2 linked regions of the Callithrix jacchus genome follow. The protein of the gene in region 1 purifies or fractionates together with the protein of each later gene. This does not show direct contact. Links are inferred from orthologs where the notes say so. Each region holds a gene or a part of one and is shown in the gene's direction. Other genes may lie near its edges.

Evidence for each region. The genes of interacting proteins can lie anywhere in the genome.
Region 2: the proteins of CUL1 (region 1) and FBXO22 purify together in Homo sapiens (affinity purification with mass spectrometry; 11 studies listed by BioGRID and IntAct, with this or other methods). This does not show direct contact. The link is inferred for Callithrix jacchus from reciprocal best matches to the Homo sapiens genes CUL1 and FBXO22.

Annotation. Positions count from the first base shown.
Region 1 is NC_133512.1:99,020,298-99,028,717, reverse strand, and holds the start of CUL1 (cullin-1), read left to right. Parts: upstream 1-3,413; 5' UTR 3,414-3,592; intron 3,593-3,680; exon of another isoform or gene 3,681-3,799; intron 3,800-3,944; exon of another isoform or gene 3,945-4,071; intron 4,072-4,726; exon of another isoform or gene 4,727-5,174; intron 5,175-8,420. UniProt on the Homo sapiens protein: Core component of multiple cullin-RING-based SCF (SKP1-CUL1-F-box protein) E3 ubiquitin-protein ligase complexes, which mediate the ubiquitination of proteins involved in cell cycle progression, signal transduction and transcription.
Region 2 is NC_133509.1:25,071,631-25,079,407, reverse strand, and holds part of FBXO22 (F-box only protein 22), read left to right. Parts: intron 1-5,844; coding exon 5,845-6,010; intron 6,011-7,777. UniProt on the Homo sapiens protein: Substrate-recognition component of the SCF (SKP1-CUL1-F-box protein)-type E3 ubiquitin ligase complex that is implicated in the control of various cellular processes such as cell cycle control, transcriptional regulation, DNA damage repair, and apoptosis.

The DNA of each region.
Region 1 (8,420 bases):
GGCATGCCACCACACCAGGCTAATTTTTGTATATTTTGTAGAGACAGGGTTTCACTTTGTTGGCCAGGCTGGTCTCAAACTCCTGATCCCAAGTGATCCACCTGCCTTGGCCTCCCAAAGTGCTGGGATTACAGGTGTGAGCCACTACACATGGCTGAGCTATTATTATTATAATCCCCATGTCACCGATGAAGAACCTGAGGCACAAAGAGGTTAACTTGCTCAAAGTTCCCCAGATAACAAGTAGCGGTGCCAGGAAAGAAACTCTGGCAGTTTCAAGTTCCCTCCCTGCCACTTCCCAGCCAGCTACTTTTGATTCAGTAGATCTGGAATGGGGCCCTTGGAATTAGAAGTTAAGTCCCCGGGTGATTCTGAAGCAAAACCAGGTTTGAGAACCATCCTGTTAATTCACTTTGCACTGGATGGCTAGTTACTTACCTGTGTCTTAGAAATAATCGTTCATATAGTTAGTCAAGTAACACCATACCCTTTCATTTCAGTAGTAAGCAAATTTGCTCGGAATCCGCTTCAGCGTTCTTCAGGCACAGTGCTGAGGGGGCAGATGAACATTACGAAATTGTCTCTGACCCCACAGCACAGACCACCTAGTTTAAAGGCACATGTGAGAAGGCAATCAGGGAGAGGTCACAAAGCTTGAGTAGAAGGTGTAAGGTGGCGGGCTTCCTGGGAGGGGGGTGTGAGCTGGATCTTGAAAAGTGAGCATGAAAAAAAAAAAAAAAGAAAAGTGAGCATGATTTGGAGTTGGAGGAGAGAAGGGGGAACAGTACCTGTTAGAGGAACAACTGAATGGCATTGAGAGTTCCTTTTGGGAAGTAGCAGGAAATAAATTTGGAAAAGCAAGTTAGGACAAGATATGGTAAACCTTAAGTGCCAGGTCCAAATTTGGATTGAACCCTACACACAATATGGAACTACTGAAGTTTGGAAGGACAAAATTATAATGATGAAGGTATCAATTTACAAGGAATAATCTGCCATCAGTCATGACACAAGCGGAAGGATAAAGAAGAGGTAAGAACCAGGAAGAGCATTTAGAAGGTTAAAGAACCAACAAAAGTGTGGGAGAATATCTTAGTAAAGGAGTGGATATATACAGAAGTGAGTCACCGGGTCACATTATGCACTGATCAGGCTGAGCGATTTCACGCAAATTGCCTAACATCTCTGAGCCTTAAGTTTTTTTTAAATGAAAAATGGGTATGATGATAATGACTGACTCAAAACAGGCAAAGGATTTCTCTAGGATGGTGACAGCTCTGGGATACAAGGTGAATGGGCCAGGATTTTGAGTTTGTTTCCAGGTCTGCATGAATTAAAGAATGTGCTATGAATGGCAACAGGCACATTCACTTTGTGGAAGATGAGGGGGGACTAATGGCTGGTGAATGTTCCACGAATTATGAAGAAATTACTCTTTACACTCTTATGATGTAGGTATTTTTATCCCAAATTAACAGTTGACTTAACTAGAGCAAAAATTAGTAATTTGAGTTACTGGATATGACTCAAATTTGAGTAACTGAATATAAACCAAAGCCCACTAAAATCTAAAACTTGGGCTTTTCCAACTAGTACATCATATTGTCGAGTTGAAAGTTGTATTTTATGTCACTGCTTTTGGCCTAATGTTCTAGTCTGTTCAGACTATTTTGAATTTTGATTCTGACATCCATCAAATTAATTATCCCTCCAAACTTTGGGTCATCTGAGAGGGACATCGATTTTGCTGAGCTGGGGGAGAAAGATGGAGGAAGGAGGTTTTAAAGTAGAAAGGGAGCAGCAGGTGGCCTTGACCTGTTAGGCAGGAGGCAAGGTTATCTGCCCAAAGTAAATGCAAATCTGGTTGTTAAGTGGACATAAAAGTCAATGGAATAAATTTGCTGCTAAGAATGATCGTGTAGGCAGGTGAGGGTAAAGAATAGAAAGGAGTTAAGAACCAGGAATCTCGGAGGCAGTGAGAAGAGGGAGGGTGGTGTAGGTGAACCAAATACTCCTATTAAGAAAAAACAGAGGGCAAAGGAAACATACAATAAAGGGAAGGCTGACCCACTCAGCCTTTCTATTAGCTGGAGGAAGTCACAGAATAGGAGGCCAAGAATATTTCCCACCCCAACACCCTGCACAAATGAAAGGATTATGACATACCTAAGTGACAAATGCATTACTATTACAGATACTTAGATGTAGACAAAATACATTTTTTTTTTTGAGACAGTCTTGCCCTGTTGCCCAGGCTGGAGTGCAATGGCATGATCTCGGCTCACTGCAACCTCTGCCTCCCAGGTTTAAGCAATTCTCCTGCCTCAGCCTCCCAAATAGCTGGGACTACAGGTGTCTGCCACCACACCTGGCTAATTTTTTTTATCTTTAGTAGAAACTGGGGGGGGGGGTCACCATGTTGGCCAGGCTGGTCTCGAACTCCTGACCTACGTGATTCGCCCACCTTGGCCTCCCAAAGTGCCGGGATTACAGGCATGAGCCACCGCGCCCGGCCAAGACATTTCGATAGAGGGGATCACATAGACCAGTGGGATGTTTCTTCTGAGACAAACCCATGTTATGCAGTAAACTGTGGACTCTGGGGACAGCCCTCTGCTCTGACTGAGGCCTTCTGTCCCGAGTGGTACTGGAATCTGTGTAGCATTTTAGTTTGGAGGAAACAAAATTACACTCATCACATCTTTTGCCCAGATGACAGAATTCGAAATCCCCCGGGGGTTGTTCGTGGAATGAGCCGCTCGGTGACGTTGTGAGCCGTGCTATTAATCAGCCATCCCTCACTAGGTGCGGGGGGGCCACCACGCTTCCTCCAGCCCGTCACCATAGCAGCAGGTGGCTATTTGTGCTGCCAAAATTAGTATTTAGTGTGAATATTCCAAATAGCCAATTATGACAGTTAATTTCAAATGAGATGACTTCGAACTACACGTGAAAATACTATTTTACATCATGCCTCATGCCATCCCTATATGTAATCAAAGCCTTCTAGTTTTGATTTGTCCTTCCAAAGACCAAGGGTAGAGTAAATGTCAAAATCTGCCAAACAGCAGTTAGTGAAAGAGTCTGAAGAGGGAAAGCCTAGTTAGGTTTGACCTTAGAAGTGATTTTTAAAAAGAGACACATAGATAAAATGTGTCTGGAGCCAAATCCTAAGGCCTGCAGGTGTTAAGGGGGGGGTCGAGAATCAGCTGCACGTTCCTTGGAAGTCCGCGCCGATTCTGGGAGGCACCTGGCCACCTCTGACTTTCTGATCTGTGGTGCATCCCCCAGTCCCGGTCGACAAAAGTGGGGAGTCGAGTTCCAGGCCAGCGGGGGACGGGGGTTGTGCGCACAGGGGAGGGGCAGGAGGACTGCGAGCCCCTCTCCTTTGGGGTGCTTCGGGCCCTTTCTTCAGAGGCTGGTGGTGTCCCCGACCCAAGCAGCTCATTCTCGCTGGCGAGGTCCGAAGTGGCGGGAACGGGTCCTCCGCGGCGGCCCCAAGGCGAGGGAGGCTGTAAAACCTGGCGGAGGATCCAGCGCGCCGGGTCGGGGATGGCTCGGGTGTCAGGGGGCAGGGGCCGTGGGCTCGCAGGTAAAGAGCCCCACGTGAGCGGGGGCCACGGCCACAGAAGGGGCGCCCCCGGGGCGGCGGGCGGGCGGGAGCTTTCCGGGCCCCTCCCGCGTCTCGGGCTGGCGGGGCGATGGCGACGACGGTTTCCCGGCTCCCCCGCCCCGGACGCCGATGGCGGTGCGTTCCGGCCCTCCCCCAACAGCTTCTCCCCCGCGGTCGCCGGAGCCGGTGAGGCCGGGAGGGCGGGGAGCCGTGGAGAGAAGGCGAGAGGGCGGAGGTTGCGTGGTGCAGGCGGCGGCGGCGGCGGCGGGAGGAGGAGGGCCGGGCGGGCAGGGGAGGAGGAGGAGGCGGGCTCCGTGTCGCACGCAGCTCCAGGCGGGGCAGCCCGGGTGGCTGAGGGACGCAGCCAGACCTTGGCGGGACGGGGCTTTCGCCGGGGCCCAGGCCCAGCGACCAGGCGGAGGCGTCGCGGGAGCCTTTTGGGCACTACGGAGATGCGGGTGAGTGTCGGCCGCCGCAGGGCCGAAAGGAGGTGGTGGCGGCGGCGCAGGCCCGGCCCCGAGCCGCGGTGTCGCAGTGACTCGGGCCGCGGTTGCCGAGCCCAGGCGCCGGGCGAGGCCTGAGCCGCCGAAACGCGGCCGGGCAGAATGGCGGCCGGGCCCGGGGGCTCGTGGGCGGAGGACGCCGGGGGCGGCAGGGGAGCGAGCGGGGCTGGGCCCTGAGTCACCCCGGACGGGCCGGGGCGGCCAGGCCCGGACTACGCACTGGGAAAAAGCCCGATTCATCGCGCCCAGAGGCGGCGGCCTGGTGGCGCCGGCCCCTTTCCCCGTCGGGACCGGGCTGGGTCCGCGGAGGCTGGGCCGGCGTATGGCCCCGGGCGACTTGGGCGTTCGCGCCTCGCCTCGTGAGGCGATCTCCGCGGGACACCGGGACCCCATGCCCTTGCCCCTTCTCGCCCTCACGACCACGCTTCTCCTCGGCGCCGCTTTCCGGCCGACGCGTGCCCTCCTGTGAGCCCCGGGCTCGCGCGCGCAACCAGCCGCCAAGCCGGGCTCTCTCGCTTTCCGGTTCCCTGCCCGCGGCTCTCGGGTTCCGCGCCTGCATTATTGCGACCGTGCAGGACGCTATTATTGGCTAACAGCCGTCCTTTTGCCCAGTTGTCCTCGGGGAGCGGGCTGGGCTGGCGCTCAGAGATGGGAGCCCGGCGGCAAAACCGAACGGAGCCCCACGGCGCCCGCCTAGCGCTCGCGAGTCTGGCCGGGCCCTGCGCCGCGGCCTCGGCGCGCCCCCGGCCCCAACGGGAGCGCGCGCCATGACCCTGGAGGTAACCGGGCGAGCGCAAGCTGCGGGGACTTGGGGTCCCCAGGCTCGGGGTTCGTGCGATTTTTGCCCCAAGATCTGAAAGACCCCTGTTTCTGCCACCGGTGCAATATTGTGTAGCGCAGACGTAAGATAATTAAGAAAGAGAGGAATGCTTGTAGACACTGCTTGAAATGAATCCCCAAAGTTAAGGTTTTCTGCCTGGCTGGCTTTGCCAAAAAGAGGATTCTCTTTTCCGACTGGGTCACTCTCGGTTGCTTCTGGTTCGTAGTAGGCGTTCGTGGTAAGTGCACAAATGCTGAATTGCAGTCTTCTTAAATATTTATTTGCTCAGTGTAATTGCTCTTTCCTGTAGTAGCATTAAAATCGTCAAAAGTTCTGAGTGGAGTAAACGATCACACTTTTTGGAATAATCTTAACGAAGCGGCAGAAGAGAAACTAGATTCCTTTTTTACTTCAAGCCAGGAGCTTCTAGGACCTAACGCCTCGCGGAAGTGTGTGCAGTTTTAAGTTTAACACTTCATTTCATGGTGCACCCGAAAATGTACCCAGTTTTTTGAAATCCTGGAGAGTGGATTATGTAGTAAAATATGTAATGACATTTAAAATGTAAAACCAGTCATTTTGTTTGAAAACAATATTTGGCGATGAGATTTTTCTTTGTTTAAAGGAGGTTTTTGGATATTGGAAAATGTTTTACTTCGAGGTTCTATTTGTTGTTTTCCATGGTGAGTCGAAATAGTTGCATTGCATTTCAAATTCCAAAGCATGCAAACACAAGACTGGCTCGCTTTAACTCTATTATGCCCATTTTTGGAGGTTTCAGGAGAGTGTTCCTTAAGCTTGAGAGGGATGGCTGAATTGCTTTCTAAATATGTTAAACTTCTTTCCTCATTGGCTTCATCTTTTAAAAACTGTTTTGTCAGACAACAAACCAACTTTAAATATGCTAGGGTTTTTCACCAATTTGTAAAAGCTTCCTTCCTTGAGAGCCACATGCTCAGGTCCTTCCCCACCCCCCACTCCCAATGTGTGTACCACATCAGAAGACAGACACGCATGCCTGAGCTGATTCTGCATGGTTTCCTTAGATATTATAGTTCATTAGACTCTTGCCACTTACTGAATGTTATCTTCTAGCTGTAATTAACTACAATACAGCCTTATTTCCCATACATTTCCGATTCTGAATTCCTTCAGCGCAGGGGATATTCCCTGTTTATTTTTGCGTCTCCAGAGTAACAACTTGGTTATGGTGGTGCCTCAATTGCTTATTTTTGAATGAGTGAGTTTTCTGGAATAATTCTAACTTAGTGTTTGAAAACATGCCCTGATTGTTGGCTGCAGAAAACACAGTCGTTGCACTTAAGCCGGTTAAGAATGCAAGCTTTATTATACACTTAAGTAAAATCGATTCTCTCATCTCTCCTTTGCCACTCTCCCTTCCCATTTCTCCACTTCGCACCTCCCCACAGCCCCCCAGTATCTAGTACAGGGCCCCAACAGAAAAATGCCCAGGTTTTCTATACCTGTGAAGTCCAGGAAAGTGCCAAGAGAGAACAAGTTGTGAAACTTTAGCTTTCTTTCCCATTAAAACTAGTTTTAAGATGCGGAATTTTTTTTTACTTTTTTTGGAAACACAATCAAACGCGATCAGGATCAGGTCCTCCCACCCCCGGTTGAGTATCCAGCTTTGCCTTTGAAATGAAGCAGTTTGGTAGTTGAGGCGTCTCCTTGTTGGAAAGGTGAGGCCAGCCCCTTGGTTCTGCTGAAGTGGGATAGGAAGTTGCTGTGGGAGGAACCATCCCTGGGTCACTGAGGCCCTTTCATCAGAATATCATTCCTAGTATACCCAGAGGCATTGTGTCTGTCTTTCAGCATGGAAAATTAAAATGAATGTACTTTAAATTGAGGAGTTGTTACTTGCCATTCTTCAAATTAAAAACATTAGGACCATAAGAACTTATGAAGGTGTTTTGGTTTGTTTTGTTTTGCTGTTTCAGCCCTTTGTAGGTCCCAAAGCCATGACCTTGAGTCACTCTGGAATAAAGTGTCTTTGGGGGACTGTCAGGTTCATTTTGAACTTGTTTTAGGTATGTCTGGAGAAAAGAGTTAACCATTTGAAGGGCCAATTCTAAGTTTGTCTTGCTTTTTAAAAATATCTGGGAGTTTATCCGTGTGTTTGCTTTGCAAATGAAGAAATGAACATTAAATGGGAAGTAGATCCAATTTGGGTAAAAGTCTTGTGTTTGCCGAGGACATAATTTCCTCTTTATAGAAGTTTCTTGTTTATAAAATGAACATTGAGTAAGCACACTATAAACAGGATGATAACATTTAATGACTTAAGTTTTTTATTCATGCATGGAGGTATTTCACTTCTAAAAATTCTGTGATGGAGAGATGTAGTCATTTATTTTTGCTTAGGTATAGAGCGTCTTGATTTGGGAGAGAGGACTTGAGTCTAGTTAAAGCTTACCTTTGCAGGGCCAGTATTTGCTCATTTGTGAAATGAGATGGTTTTTTAATTGACATTGTTGATTTCCTTAGGCCCTCAAAGTATGTGGATTCCATGGGAATGCCACAGCTTTGAACATTAACAGCATTTTGGGAAAAACGGTCTCAAAGAACATCAAGTATTGTATTCATGTTTGAAAAGCAGGGTTGTGAAGCCTAAGTTTGATGTATATTTTTTCCCTTGGGAAACATGGACCAAGTAAGCACTGTTCTGCCCTTCCTAGTGTTCCCTGCACGCTTCAGTGCTGTTGCAGTTCCATTCAAGATGTGACTCTTTGCCTTTTCTTTCACTGACGGCTCAGGGAGCCTTCCCTGGGTTCCCGTGGTGTCCTGCCTGTGTCACTATCACAATATTTAACCTTTTGATTGTACTTGGTGGTTTCTCCCACCAAACTGCCCTCCTTTGGGACAGGGAGGCTGTGATAGCATCTGTCCCCAGTGACTAGCGTACTGCATGCGTCAACATTCACGTACAGCCTTCCACTGGAAATCCTTACAGTGCCCACTGAAGTGTAGTCACTATGGTTTAACCCACTTTACAGAATACAGGTGAAGGAGCTGAGACTTTGAGCGGTGAAGGTCAGGGCTAGGAAGGTGGTTAAGCCTGGCTAACTCCAGAGCTCAAGCTTTTAACCAAATGTTCCCTGAGGGTTTGACTGGTTTATAAAAGGTGGAAGAAGACTAGAAGAGACTAAAATGAAAAGCTTTAAAGACTGATATCTGATCATTATGGCAGAATTCATTATGCAGAACTGTGATCTGCTACCAAGAATGAGCTTATTCTTCCTGGTCTTTTTGTAACATTGTGGGAGAGTAATTGGGCACTGATAGCATAGACATGAACAGTTCTGGAACTTTGGGGCTATTGTTAAATTGGGTGTGATGTTATGACTCATTGGCCTTGCAAAAATTTGTAAAACCATTCAAGACAGTTCAAATCTAACAAGCTTGCAATGTTTTTTAAAGGCCTGTGTCAGAAAATACTTTGGAAAAGAGATTGTATGAAATGGAT
Region 2 (7,777 bases), on another chromosome or scaffold:
GAGGAGTGGGGAATGAATTGGAGGAAATTAACAAATGATAAGATGTGAAAGAGAAGGGAAACTGGGGCCTCAGTAATTACTTTTGAGTTTTGATCCTAGGAGACGGGGTGATGGTGGTACAGAGACCAGAAATGGGAACACTGGGACAGGAGGAGCAGGATTGGGAGAAGAAATTGGGAAAAATCAAACCCCATTAGAGATACTTGTTTTTCCTTGTGATTCAGTGCTGCCGCTAAAGGTCATATGGCCAAACCTTCTCTGTGCTGCCTTTTTTGTCCAGAGAGGTGACATGACTCTTCCCTGGGCAGTACTCTGTCTTCTGTTCCCCCTCCCCCGCCCCCTGAGCTTCCTGGGAGTCTTTGATGAGGCCCTGATATTGTACTGGTTGAAGCTAGGACCCTAATTTTGTTAGTTTATAAGAAAGCCGAAATCTTGAGCAGGAGACCCCCTTTTATGATAAAATTATTGTATTTGTTAGATCATATTTGTATTATAGTGCCAAGTATAGGAAGGAGAAAACTGGAAGGAAAAACAACTCCAAAATGATTGGGCTCTGTGAAGCTTTCTTATAGGTGTCCTTTCCTGAGCTGCTTGATGTCAGCGGTTTTGGCTTATTCAAAGGCATCATTTTCTTCTGGAAATTGAAGCTTTTCCCAGCTTAAAATGGCCATCTCCATTCTTTCATTTGCTATCTTGTGTCCTAATTTTAGGTATAGTTGGCCTTCCATATCCGTGGGTTCTGCATTCATGGATTCAGCTGACCACAGATCAAAAGTATTTGAGGGAAGTGCAGCAGGAAGCAGGTTTCTAAACACAGGAGTGGCAAAATTTGATAGATCTTTTGAAAATACCACTCTTACTATGGTGTGGTGATCATTTTAGAGTACAAGAGTGGATGCAGGACTAGCTTAATTTAGCCATTCAATAGTGTATATATATTTCAGAACACCATGTTGTACATGAGAAATATATGCCTTTAATATTTTTCAGTTAAAATACTTTTTTAAAAAAGTAGATGCAGGAGAAACAGGGTATTGTGGCTGAGGAAAGAGGAGATGGCAGCTTGGAGCAGGGCAGTGGTGAGGAGTTGAAGAGAAGAGGTTGGATTCAAGATGAAGTTTGGGGCTGAATGGACAGGATGTGGTTGGTGACTGATGAGATGTTGGGTGTTGAGAATGAGGGAGGTGGCAGTGGTGTCATATGGGTTTGTGGCTAGTGCAGCTGTATTATACATTGACTAATGCATTTTGAAAGTATCAAATCCTCACACAGATTCTTTAGGAGTAAAACAGTACATAACACGTTGTTACAGGCATTAAATAAGTTAATTTCTATAATGTACTTAGAACAGCGCTCTGTACTAAAGTATTTGTTATGAGATTGGTAGTCTGGTGATGTACTTGATTGTTCAGGTTCTTTCTGCTCCCTGCTTTTTGATCCTTTAATTACTCCTCTTGAATTCTGCCAGCCACCAAGAGGGTTAAAAATGGAACTTTCATGACTTAAGTCAGATTCCAAAAAAATCTGAAGAAGGACAAAGTTTTAAAGTTACCTGCAGACCTCATAGAGAATCTTGAGGGGTCATGGCAATACCAGATGTGAAGCAGAGAGAATTAGTACTGAAGCTCAAGGGATTGAACTTGTTCTGCTTGAAAGTTGCCCAGCCCCTGGGAAAGCAGAAGTGGCAGGAAGGTAGTGTTAAAGAAAAAGCGATGCTGACACCTTTTAAAGAGACCACTGTGACGGGGTTTTGCACTGGGGAGGGAGATCAGGCTCAACTCCAGATGCGCCAACCACAGGTGGGGATTTATAGCCAGGGAGGAGAGTGGGGGCTTGGTGGATGAAAAATTCCTAGTAATTCTGGTAATTCTTTGCTAAATGTACCTAACAGGATTATTACTGGAAAGAACAGTTTCATACTATTCCAAAACTAAAGACATCTCTTGGTAGACACCTGCAGTAGTTAACTTGAATACTAGTTACCATTCCTACATGGCAGGTCAATCTATTCTGTTAACTGAGGTTACATTTTGTAACCAGTTTATCATCTTGGAAGGTTCACCAGGAGGTTACACTTTATGAAGTGCATTATAAATACTGTCCTGGAATTGTTTTTTAATAGTTGTGGTGCGTCCCTGCTAATGTATCAACTTTTGGAAAATTCTAGAATAAAATCTGTAGTCAGATGCAATGGCAGGTGGCCCAGAACACTGGGTCCTTGATGACCCTTTACCTATGAATTGGAGGGAACCCAGAACCTTTCAGGAAAAATTGGCACTGCTCCTTTCTCTTCCCTCCTATCTTAGGCCTTTAAATTTTGAGTGGCAAGGAGTTGGAGTTGTACCTTCCCTCTGTTATCTTCTGGTAGCACCAGCTAGTCTGTGGGTTAAATGCAGAGCCATCCGCTCTATCAGGCAGCCAGTCTTGGCTAAGGTGGGTTTGTTCACTAAATTGGGGTAGGGGAAAGTGATTCCACTTTCTGGGGTTTGTGGGGAGGGGGAAATGTTCTTTCACTGAGAGTAAACCCACTGGAGAAGATGGTTTTAAACAAAATGTGTGACTGAGGCAAAAATCTAAATCATTCGAGGTTTACTGAGCCGGAGGTTGAGGGTTTATCCAGGGAAAACACTAGTCACAAATGAGTGGCCATGTACTCTGAAGAGGTTTTCAATACATGTTTCTAAAGGAGGGAAAGAAGGAAGGGGAAGGATAGGCCCAAGGTGAATGGTTACATTCCTGTGAGATTTTAGTCCAGTAAATTTATATTTTACAGAGGATAAGGTAAACCTTTTGAAGAAAGGAAGAACCAGTTGTGCGTCTCAGAGTAGGTGGATGAATTACTGATCTCATCTTGTTTTTGTGCAGCATCTGGGAAGATAAGCTTGTAATGAATGTTATCAGTGTGGAGTTGAACAGATTGCAGTCCTAAAGTTACAATTGACATGTCCTTGTTTTATGGGAGGATGTATTTAAAGGTTTGAGGCCAGCAGAGATTTTCCTTATGAATGACTTGTGGAAACACTCATCTGGCAATGCCTAAAGCCTTTTGCATTTCCTGGCGGGGTGGTGGGAGTGTGTGTGGGGTAAGTCTGGCTAATGTAGAATGCAACAACACAGGGTTGTGAAGTAGCAGCTGTTAATTTGGGGTGAGGATGGGGCTTCACTTGACTCAGCCTCTAGGCTTAACTTTCCCTTTGGCATAAGGAGTTTGGAGGTCCCGAGATTTTTTTTATTCTCCTTTACTTTGGGTACGTGTTTGTTAAATGAATGGGAGTGGTGCCTTTAGAATATTCAGATAAGATGTTGAGTAGACAATTGTAAAAGAGCATCTAGAGCTTAGAAAACAGTAGGAAAGGTTGAGATCTAGAAGTCATAAGGTTTCTAAAACCTAAATCCCTCAGTGTCAGGAGATGTGTGTGGGTTTTAATGTAGAGTCTGTCATTATATTGTCCTGGGGTAGTGAGTTCTCTGTCATTGGTCGTCATTGTTTGTAAAATAAAACTGGACTGTTGATCTCACAGGCCTCTTCTAAGTCTGAAAATTTGTTCTAAAGAAGAAAATATATTCTCTCAAAATTTCGTGGGGTAGTCTATAAGAGAAGAAAGATCCTTTAGTAATGGTTTGGGGTATATGATGTCATGAAAGTAATACTCTTTTTACTGTCCAAATCAGTAATTTATTGTGTAGAGAATTGGAAATAGACCAGAGGCAGTTTCCCAGAATAGGTCATTGTTTGGTGTTAGCAGTTGGTCATTCATGAATCTGCATACCCTTTGTTTCCTTAATGTAACTGCCTTAGGTCTGTCAAGGTAGAAGTCATGTGGTCAAATTAAATGGAAGCAGTGTGTTAGGTATTGGATTCATTTTCCTGTCCCCAAAGCACCTCTGTTTGGTAATGCTGGCAGAAGACATACATGTGGCCGACAATGATGAAAAAAAGCTCTACATCACTGATCATTAGAGAAATGCAAATCAAAACCACAATGCAATTCCATCCCACACTAGTTAGAATGGCTAGTAAAAAGTAAAAAAATAACAGATGCTGGCTAGTTTGTGGAGAAAAAGAAATGCTTAAACACTGTTGGTGGAAGTATAAATTAGTTTAACCATCGTGGAAGACAGTGTGGTGATTTCTCAAAGACCTAAAGACAGAAATACCATTCGACCCAGCAGTCCCATTACTGGGTATATACTCAAAGGAATATAAATTATTCTGTTATAAAGACACATGCACATGTATGTTCATTGCAACACTATTCACAATAGCAAAGACATGGAATCAACCTGAATGCCCATCAGTGATAAACTGGACAAAGAAAAATGGTACATATATGCCATGGAATACTGTGAAGCCATAAAAAAAAGAATGAGAACATGTCTTTTGCAGGGACACGAATGGAGCTGGAGGCCATTATCATTAGCAAACCTACACAGAGACAGAAAACCAAAGACTGCATGTTCTCACTTATAGTGGGAGCTAAATGATGAAAATACATGGACACAAAGAGGAGCACAACAGATACTGGGGCCTACCAGAGGGTGGAGGGTGGGAGGAGGGAGAGGATCAAGAAAAACAACTAATGGATACTGGGCTTATTACCTGGGTGATGAAATAATTTGCACAACAAACCCCATGACACACATTTCCCTATGTAACAAATCACATGTACATGTATCCCTGAACTTAAAAAAAAAAAATCAAATCGATAGTCTGTAAATAAGCTGCCAGAGGCTCCTGTGAAACCTGGGAGCTGAGGCCAGAGCGAGTAGGCTGTCTCTGTTACACTCTGCCTCCTCCTGGTGGTAGCAGCTTTTAGTCCTTGTCACAGAATTGAACATTTTCCTGCTTTGGAAGGAACTTTTAAAGGCTAATTCACTGGCTTCCCTGGAGGAAGTGAATAAAGCCTGTATTTCAGTGATATAGTAGTTTCCTGAGGCTGCTGTAACAAAGTTCCCCAAATTTGGTGGCCTAAAACCAGAAATTTATTCTGCACAGTTCAGGAGGCCAGAAGTCTGAAATTGAGATGGCAGTAGGGGTAGTGCTACCTCGGAAGGCTCTAGGGGAGAGTCTGTTTTTTTTTGTTTCTTCACAGCTTCAGTTTCTGCCTCTGTGGTCACACTGCCTTTTCTTCTCTGTCTCTCCATTGTTAATCTTTCATTATGAGGACACTGTCACTCGATTTAGGGCCCATCTGGATAAGCCAGATGATTTCATTGCAATATCCTTACTGAGTAACATAGTGAGACCCCATCTCTACAAAAAAATTAAAAATATCCTTAATTACATCTGCAAAAATTCTTTTTCCAAATAAGCCTACATGTCTAGGTTTCAGAGATTTGATGTGGATATACCTTTTGGAGGGGCAGGGGGCACTATTCACCACACTATAGGTGGTTAGCACCTTTTCTCTCCTTTAAAAAAAAGTCTTTAAATTCTCACTGCTACCCCAGCTCTGTGTAAACCAGTGTTTCCTTTTGTTCCTAACCAGGAGGCAGCTTGCACCTTGGTCCACCGAGGGTTGCTGCTCAGTACATAGCTGCTTTGTTATTTGTGTTGATTGTATTATTTCTTAGTCCAAATAGCCATTTAGTTTTTTTAATAGAAAAAAATTGTAATTAAGATTTTGCATAATGTTTGTAAAGAATGGAAAACGTGACAAGATCAAAGAAGATATAAAATAAGATTTTAAAAATGTAAAAAAATGGAAAACTTGATAGCTTAAGCCACTAAATTGCCCTTACCAGGGAGTGCAAGTCATTAACAGTAACATTTCATTTTGTAACATGTATAGAATAATTTCTGTTTTATGGCTGTCTTTAACTGTTGCCCTTGTTTCTCTGCAGGTCTTTTAGATAACCCTGAACTTCGTGTGGTCCTTGTCTTTGGTTATAATTGCTGTAAGGTGGGAGCCAATAATTTTCTGCAGCAAGTAGTCAGCACTTTCAGTGATATGAATATCATCTTGGCTGGAGGCCAGGTGGACAACCTGTCATCACTGACTTCTGAAAAGTATGTCTTGTGTGCTTCTGATTTCCTCTGTGAATGAAGGGAAATGGTCTCAGGTTTTGTCACTTTGGGGTTCACAATTTTAAAAACATGCTTAAAGAATTGTTAAGAATTGTGAACCCCTAAGTTTATTCCATTTTGCAGTGGACATTGGTTAAGGGGCTTATTCAACATAACTCTGCTTATGGTTGGAGAATTACATTTTTAAATACATTGTCCTTTAAGAACTTCTTAGTTGGACTCACATTCTCCCTAAAACTGATGTTGCCATTGCCCATTGATCTTTCCTTTGACAGGTGTGGTACTCTGTGTGACCTCAATATGTCACTTCCTCTCTAGTTTCCTCCTTTAAAGGAAACACATGGTTAAAGTGTATCTTTATGGCAGAACTTCTCAGAGCCTTTAATATGCTCCATGCTTTGGAAATCTGGAAGGGGAATAGTATTACCTGTGACAGTTCCCAAATCTATTTGGTCACAAAACCTTTTGTCCACAGAGCATCTTGCAAGTCCTACTGATTTTTGGAAATTCTGTATTAGATCTTTTGAAAGGCTTTTTCAAGATCAAAAATTGTGGAACTTTGATTTTTGTTACTAAGGCTCTTGCTTTCAAAGATAAAAATATTTGCTGTTCTGTCTTGGAAGCCATTACTTCCTTTCCATCTTGCATGAAAGTACATACCATTTTGAGTTTGAACCAGTTAGGTGGACATAAATGTCATTGGTTTCTAACAGGAAAATGAGACCCTGTCCCACCCTCAATGCTTGTAAAGACTAGCATTTGTTTCCCACTCTGTTTAATATTCGCATCCTAGAGTGGTGACATGGGGACACTCTATGTCCCCATGTCAGACTATTGGAGGTCAGTATCCATAAGAATAATGTAAGTCATCCTAGTTACAGTTTCTCTTCTGGTAGTCTCTGCCCAGAATAGACCTAGGAAAATAGTTAAAGTTGAGGTCCCTGGAGTAGAGGTCCCTGGACTGCCAGGGAGGAGGAAGAGAGGAAAGCCAAGTACTTTGAATTCCAGGCAGTAGGATATCAAACACTGGGTTTCGGGCATACATACACCAAATTCTTGGTGGCTAAGTTATTTCCCCTCTTGCCTAATTTTTCCTGTGTCTTTACTATTAACTTTTAAATTGTATATCAATAGGGCAATGGTGATTCAACATACAGTGTACCTTTGAAATGCAGATATCTCACTCAAACTTAGAACATCTGAGGCACTAGCTTGTTAGTGTAGCTATTTGTATATCATCTACTTTTTATACCTAATATGAGAAACACCCCCCCCATCATTACTCTTCACATGACTCATTAATTTTAATGTGGCCTTCATATTCTGTCAGTGAGTGGGTAAGACAAACCATTGAGTAAATGAGTGCTCCATTTTAATAAAGTCCAGATAACCCAACTGACCCAGGGCCCCAAAAGGAAGGTGAATCATTCTTTGAGGCAAGATTGACAAGTGTATTAACAATTGTGTACCAAAGAGGAAATCTGATAAATGTGATAAAGTTTTAAAAGCAGCAGAGGACTTCAGAAGATGGATTTTGCCCCTCAGAAACTCATTTTACTACTAGCTAGCTTTATTATCTTAGTTACTTACCCTTTTTTGAGTCTTAGTTTCTCACTGATCCAGTGAATCTTGCCCATTTTACAGATTCAGATGTTGGAACCATGATAGAAATGTAACATACTTGTTTCTCCCCTAGTGGATGTTCACTATATTATGCTTTATAACTCTTATCAATGTTGCATTTTCTTT